Cricetulus griseus: one gene and its partner. The protein of the gene in region 1 binds, or shares a complex with, the protein of each later gene. Links are inferred from orthologs where the notes say so. Each region holds a gene or a part of one and is shown on either strand. Other genes may lie near its edges.

Region 1 (3,500 bases):
GCTTGAGCTGTCACATTCAGTTATTCTCCACTTTCCTCTCTCCCCAAACAATGCCATGCCTTTTTAATCACTAAAACACAAGATCAATCCTATTCATCTGCTCTACCACTATCTTATGGTTAAGCCACCACATTATGAATAATAACAAGAAATTTGATCTGTACTATCCCTATTAATATAATTTCCATTTGATATACATACCTTTTAAAAAAAGGGAGCCTGTGGTAGTTGCTGTTAATATCAACCTAACAGGACCTATAACAGCCTAGGAGACAGCCCTCTAGGCCATGTATGAGGGATGGATAATCTAGTTCCTGAGGATGCCTATGATGGACTGTGATGGTGTGGTTACTGAGGTAGAAGAACCATACTCAGAGTGGGTGATATACTCCCTGAGTTTGGGGGAGAGAAAGCTAGCTGAGTCCAAGCATCCACCTCTCTGAAGAAATAGCATATTAATTTGTCTGTTTAGCCCTAAATACAACAATAAATGATGAGGGGCTTCTCTTTTCAAGTCTCTTTTTACTAGAAACTTACTTCTTCTACCTGCCCATCTTCAGCTCCATCTTTCTCTTTATCTTCCTCCTCATCATCATCATAGTCTTCTTCCTCATCTTCATCTTCCTCAGATGACGTATCCCCTGTTCCATCAACTTGCAGCACCAATGGGGCTTGCTGTTGAGCAGGCTGGGCCTGTGGCTGCTGCTGGCCAGCGGCAGGTATCTGCGCTTGTGCTGGTGTGGGTGCTGCCACTGTAGTAGGGATGACCTGAGTCTTATTTCCTGTAAATAAGATTTGCTGTGGCTGGATGATGACACCTGTCTGTGGTGAAATCCCTCCAGGAAGTGGGGCCAAGACCTAGGGCAAACAAAACCACCTATTAGGAACTAGTAAGAGGGATCAAGAAGCCAGAAACAAATAATAATTCAGTTTTAAACATGAGAGATGTAACTTGCTTGGAGGCCTAATAATGATAATGATGATTATAATTATAATAATAGTAATAACAACAATTGAGAATAAGATTGTTTTGACTATTGTGTATGTAAACTTGAGGGGGAAAAGGGTAGGGAACCACATGATAAATTCATACAGTTATAGCAGCAGCAGCAGCAGCAGCAGCAAGAGCAGCAGCTGGATCCCAGGGGATGGTAACAATTCTTTACCTGCTGGATAACAGGAGCCTGTACTCCACCAGGCTGCATCTGTGGTATAACTTGTTGTTGTAGAACAACTGACTGCTGAGGTTGAAAGATATATTGGGCACCATTGGCTGCTCGGACCACCTGAAGAAGCTGACCTAAGGCAAAAAAAAAAAAAAAAAAAAAAAAAAGAATATAGACCAAGTTGCTATTTCAGCAGCAATTAATACACAAGGAAATGAGTTTATGTTGCTTTCAAGCCAAAGAACCAAAATATTTACCAAATTAGAAGACTAACTATTTTACTAAGGGCTATCAACTATACATGATAAACTACAACCACTATAGTTCCCAATTTCCCTCTATGTCCAAATGTTTTCCCATATTTATTATCTTCATTAGCTTTTTTTTTTTTTTTTTACATGCATTGGTGTTTTACCTGCATGTATGTCTGTGTGAAGGTGTTGGATCCCCTAGAACTGGAGTTACAGACAGTTGTGAGCTGTCAGGTGGGTGCTGAGAATTGAACCCAGGTCCTCTGGAAGAACAGGCAGTGCTATTAACCGCTAAGCCACTCTCCAGCCCCTTCTTTAGCTTATTACCAATAAAGCTTTAACAACAGGTTGTAAAATTTGATTAAGAGACTATCGAAGTAACTCAGCAGTTACAAGCACTAGATGCTCTCCCAGAGAACGGAGGTTCCATTCCCAGCACCCACATGGTGGCTGACAGCCAGCTCTAACTCCGGTTCTAGGGAATGTGGTGGCCTCTTCTAGACTCCCAAGGAACTACAAGCATGTGATGCACAAACAAGCAGGTAAAATAGCCACACAAAATTAAAAGACTTAAAGATTGCCTTAATTACTTTTTCTCACATGATAACAGTCAAGAAAGTGTAGTAAACAGTATTAGAAAGCCAGGCGTTGGTGGCGCACACCTTTAATCCCAGCACTTGGGAGGCAGAGGCAGACACAAAGGTATAACATTTTGTTTGTATCTTAAACCAAAGCACAGGGCTTTGCTTCAAATTTTCAACAAGCAATGAAAATTTGCTAAAACAATTAGAACTGCTGTAATTATGAATAATATATAATACACAGAATAGCCTCATATACTTCCAAAAGAAGACAAAGCCCTAGGCTGGCAGTGGTGGCGCACAACTTTAATCTCAGCACTTGGGAGGTAGAGGCAGGCTAATCTCCATGAGTTCGAGGCCAGCCTGATCTACAGAGCGAATTCCATGAAGGCTCCAAAGCTGCAGAGAAACCCTGTCTCGAAAAACCAAAAAATAAATAGATAGATAGATAGATAGATAAATAAATAAATAAATAAATAAATAAATAAATGAGGGCAAAGCCCTAATTGGTTCTGCACAAATTTAGAAATTACAGACAATCAATCAATAAATAATATAAAGATCAGGCTATATAACAGTCTATTTAAGTGTTCCAAAGATAAGATGGAAATATGTATTTGGCATAACTGCAAAGACAGTACATTCTCTAAAAGTACACAATGAATCAGCTCTTCAGGTCCTGTGGAATTTAATTTGATCATCACAAATTAATTCAAATATTTCATTTAGCAAAACAGATGCTTTGTTTAAAAAAAAAAAAAAAAAAAGCCAATCTCAGAAAATAACCATATCTCTGTAATCCCACTTAGGCAGGGTTCTCATTCACAGAACAAAAGATCCATTAAAAATTTTTTTTTTTAAATTCCTGTTTTAATTTTTTTTTTCAAGATTGATTTATTTATTATGTATACAGCATGCTGTCTGCATATATGCCTGCAGGCCAGAAGAGGGCAACAGATCTCATTACAGAAGGTTGTGAGCCACCATGTGGTTGCTGGGAATTGAACTCGGGACCTCTGGAAGAGCAGCGCCTGCTCTTAACCTCTGAGCCATCTCTCCAGCCCAATTTTAGATTTTTTTTTTTTTTTTTTTTTGTTTTTCGAGACAGGGTTTCTCTGTGTAGCTTTGGAGCCTATTCAGGCACTCGCTCTGGAGACCAGGCTGGCCTCGAACTCAGAGATCTGCCTGTCTCTGCCTCCCGAGTGCTGGGATTAAAGGCGTGCGCCACCAACACCTTTTTTTTTCTTTTTTGAATCAGGGTTTCAGTTGGGCTCAAACTCATTATGAAACCTAGGATGGCATTGAACATCTGATCCCGCCTCCAAATCCCAACTGCTGCGATTATGTGTGCTACCACACACCTGGCTACAACTTTGATTTTTTCAATTATACCCTCAACAAAGACTACAATTCTATATCCTATAGCCCTCAAATGATCTTAACAAGCGTCAGTACTGCCTCCCTTCAGTGACAATAAAACATTAAGAGCTACTTGGTGTTAG
Region 2 (4,214 bases), on another chromosome or scaffold:
GCACTATTACAGAGATTATCATCTATTGAGGAAATACAAACAAGTTGAAATCAACAAAGACAGAGTAATATGAACATTCCTAACCAGGACCCCAAGAAAATAAGTCATCCCAAAAACTGAAAACAGGAGTAGACCAGGCAAAAATGAGTCAGTGAATATGGGAGGAGTGAAGATGGCTCCTGTCCAAAAGACATCATAATGAAGATAGCATAGTATAATCTAATCAAGAAAAGGCAATGTAGGGTACTGGGGAGATAGCTCAGATGGCAAAGCGCTTTACTGTGCAAGCATGAAGACTGAGTTCAGAGCTCCAGCACCCATGTAAAAAAGCCAGGCACACACCTGTAATCACAGCACAGGGAAGGCTGAGACAGGACATACACATATAGACAAGCAGTGCACACACATTCACATTTTTTGAGACACACTCTCAAACAGTATCAGATATATTTCCTCTGTGTGTGTGTGTGTGTGTGTGTGTGTGTGTGTGTGTGTGTGTGTGTAAGAAAAATGGATACGGATAAAGTGAGTTGAGTCAACAGTAGAGTTTAGGGAACCTAACAGATCTCCCAGTTATCTAGTAAGAGATAGATATGCAGGACAACTAAATTGGAAATACAGCAGGGCATATTAGCTCATGCCTATAATCCCAGCACATGAGAGACTGAGGTAAGAGAACTGCCAGTAGTTCAATGCCAGCTTATGTAATGCACATAGTCAAGACCATGTCTAAAGAAACAAAAATTTGGTTGGGCAGTGGTGGCACAAGCCTTTAATCCTAGCACTTAGGAGGCAGAGGTAGGGGATCTCTGAGAGTTGGAAGCCAGCCAAGTCTACAGAGCTAGTTCCAGGACAGCTAGGACAGAGAAACCCTGTCTCGAAAAACCAAAAGGGAAAAGAAAAAAATAAACAAAAATGTATTCAAGTCATCCAGTAAATTCAAGTATGAATAATGGATTAGATCGCCAGGCGTTGGTGGCATATGCCTTTAATCCCAGCACTCGGGAGGCAGAGACAAGCGGATCTCTGTGAGTTCGAGGCCAGCCTAGTCTACAGACTGTGTACCAGAATAGGCTCCAAAGCTACACAGAGAACCCTGTCTTGAAAAAAAAAAAAAAAAAAAAAAAGACTGGATTAGATCACCCAGGGAGAATGTAAACAACAGTAATGAGTAAAAGAAACGGTAACAGTCAAGTGGAAGTGATGTAGCAGAGTAGATGAGTAGTTTTCAAGAGGAAATCGTGAACAATTTTGAATAGCACAGAAATAGGTGAGAGTTGGGTGGGTGAATGATGTTTTATCTGGTTGGTTGGTTTTGGGTCTCCAATTTAAAGATAATCCTCCACATTTGGCCTTCTGTGAGCTACAACAACTGATCTAAGTAAGTCTTGAAGCATCTATCTAATTTATCAAGTAAGAAATCACAGACCACTCAGAAAAAGCTGTTTTAACATAGGAGCATTAGCAAAATCAGATTATAATGGGTCACAGAGGTCCTGAGATGGAAACTAGAAACATTCTTAGGGCTGGTGAAATGGCTCAATGGGTAAAGATGATTGTCACATAGCTGAGGATCTGAGTTCAAACCCAGCATCTATAGGGTATGCTCCATGTGTGCACCCTGATACATACATACAAAATAAATAGATGCTATAAAAGTCTTAAAGTTTCTGCATTTCCTTCAAGTAAGAGTAATTTAAAAGAATATAACGATTTTAATAGAGTTCCATGAGATATGAATACAATTGAGACGTTTAAGAAATTTTAAAAGTTGAAGCTTTTGTTGTGTCTGAGTAGGATGGCCATAAAGTTGGAAGCTGGAACACAGAAGTAAAGAGGGAGCTTTAAAAAAAAAAATACAACATGAGGCCCAGCGGTGGTGGCTCATTTAATTACAGCATTCAGGAGGCAGAAGTAGGAGGATCTCTGACTGAGTTCCAAACCTGTCTCGAAAAACAAAAAAAGAAAACCTGAAGTGTGCCTATGAAAAGTGACTAGGCATGTCCTTGTGAAATGAAATACATACACAGCAAGGACTATGTCATCTCATGGTAAGAGACTACTAAAAGGCCATCTTTTAAGGCATTTACTTTAACTGAAGACAGTGTGAAGGAATGTCAACCCAGAACTCATTCTTTATCCTTAATATTTCCAGGGTATAACAGGACGTGGTCGAAAATTGAGCTACCCGGGACTAGGAATAATGGCTCAAGAGTAGAGTACGTGCAGGACCTGGATCCAATCCTCTGTGACAGTATTAAAAAAAAAAAAAATACCTAGCTATTCAGCAAGTTGACTGGGGTGCAAAGGAAACCAATCAACGTCAAAACACCCGAACGTTAATAAGCACTTGCACACTGTCGTTCCTGGAAGGTGACAGCAGGTTTAACAGGAGGCCACGCAGGGAGCAATCGACCTGACCCGGGAACGTGAATCCTAGGTTTCCCGAGCCTACACAGCCAGCAAGTCCAGCGCGTGAGAACAGGGCTGCGGGGCGCGCGTCCCGGCCGGGATGGGGTTGCTGGCGCAGGTCCTCCATCCCTGCAGGTTCCCCCGCCGTACCGCCTAAGAGGCTACCGCGAGGCGTGTCTCACGTGGTCACCTACCCTCGTCGGCGTCATACATCTTGGCCAAAGGTTTCTGGTCCTCTTAACTCGAATTCACAAAGCTGGAGGCGAAAACTGCAGCGGCAAACTCTGGAGAGTAAGAACAAGCAATTTCCGTCTCCGGCGTTCCCAGAATCCTCGGCGTCTAAGTGGGGCGGGGGAGCGGGGGGGGGGAATCGTGTGAGATCTGCGCCTGCGCAAACGGCCGGCCGAGCCTGGCGGGGGCTTGAACTGCGCAAGTGCAGATTTTGGGTCGCTCGGCTACCGCTGAGGACCGCTCTTTAGGCCGGAAGTTGGACCCGGTTAACGTAGTTTCTTGTTGCGTGTTCTTGTAGAGTTGTTGCACAGATGACGCTTGATTGGCGTAAAGGGGATTTATGAAAGAAAAGCTCTGGGTGTAGGCAGAGCACCCACGATCATCTCCTGCCCACCCAGCTCTAGTGCGCGCCTTTGCACAGCGGGGTGAACTCTCGGGTCTCGGAGCCTTCATCGCGAGAAAGCCAGGGTTAGTCACGCCGTTGGACAGTTCCCTCGCCTCTCGTCCCTGATTTCCGGACACGCGCACGGGTGCGCGCCCGAGGCTCCGCCCACCTCACGGCCGTCCGCATGCTGCCTGGCTTGCAGGCTTGCAGGCTGCTGTGCGGGTTCCTGCGGGGCCCGGCGCCTGCCGCAGCGTGCCATGGCCCTGCCCGGCGGCTCCTGGCGGGGAAGCGCGAAGCCGCTTTCTCCCAGAGCCCATCATCCCTGGGCCGCCGTCTGCCTCCAGGCTCCACGGCGACCGAGGACTATGAAGAAGGCCCCGACACGGAGGAGCGCTTTCTGTTCCCGGAGTACGTCCCGGAGCGGGACCCTGAGGAACTGCTGAGAGAGTTGCGGGAGTTGCATCAGCGGCAGCAGGATGAGGAGCGACAGAGGTTGCAGCGGCGGGAGGAGCGGCTTCAGCGGAAGCTGCGGGCGGGTCTCCGGAGTCTGCAGGTCCCCGAGCTTCCAGAAGCCACGGTGCCACCCAGCGGCATCTACTGCTCGGGCTGCGGGGCCGAGCTGCACTGCCAGCACCCCAGCCTGCCCGGCTACCTGACGGAGGAGAAGTTCCGCGGTGTGACCCAGGCGGACGGCGGACGGGCGCGGACCGTGTGCCAACGCTGCTGGCTCCTGGTGCACCATCGACGTGCCCTGCGCCTGCGGGTGAGTCGAGAGCAGTACCTGGAGCTGGTGAGCGCCGCGCTGCGGCGGCCGGAACCCGCTCTGGTGCTCTATATGGTGGACCTGCTCGACCTGCCGGACGCCCTGCTGCCCGACCTGCCCAAGCTGGTGGGCCCCAAGCAGGTCTTCGTGCTGGGGAACAAAGTGGACCTGCTGCCCCAAGACGCACCCGGCTACTTGCAGCGGCTGCGGAAGCGGCTGTGGGACGACTGCATCCGCGCTGGGCTCGTGATGGCACCTGGCCACCGAGGACCGCAGTACCCCACCGGCGATGACCCTCGGGACGAGAAAAAGAATCCGAATCCGTCGACCAGGTCCAGCACCGTGATCAAGGACGTCCGGTTGATCAGCGCCAAGACCGGCTACGGAGTTGAAGAACTGATCTCTGCACTTCAGCGCTCCTGG

What was found. The genes of interacting proteins can lie anywhere in the genome.
Region 2: Gtf2a1 (region 1) and Polr2b share a complex: the UniProt entries of both Homo sapiens proteins name them as parts of the TBP-based Pol II pre-initiation complex. The link is inferred for Cricetulus griseus from reciprocal best matches to the Homo sapiens genes GTF2A1 and POLR2B.

What each region holds. Positions count from the first base shown.
Region 1 is NC_048598.1:113,330,465-113,333,964, reverse strand, and holds part of Gtf2a1 (transcription initiation factor IIA subunit 1), read right to left. Parts: intron 1,301-3,500; coding exon 1,167-1,300; intron 859-1,166; coding exon 538-858; intron 1-537. UniProt on the Homo sapiens protein: TFIIA is a component of the transcription machinery of RNA polymerase II and plays an important role in transcriptional activation. TFIIA in a complex with TBP mediates transcriptional activity.
Region 2 is NW_023276807.1:143,692,824-143,697,037, reverse strand, and holds the start of Polr2b (DNA-directed RNA polymerase II subunit RPB2), read right to left. Parts: upstream 2,801-4,214; 5' UTR 2,626-2,800; coding exon 2,607-2,625; intron 1-2,606. Other genes in the region: Noa1 (nitric oxide-associated protein 1), read left to right, coding at 3,213-4,214. UniProt on the Homo sapiens protein: Catalytic core component of RNA polymerase II (Pol II), a DNA-dependent RNA polymerase which synthesizes mRNA precursors and many functional non-coding RNAs using the four ribonucleoside triphosphates as substrates.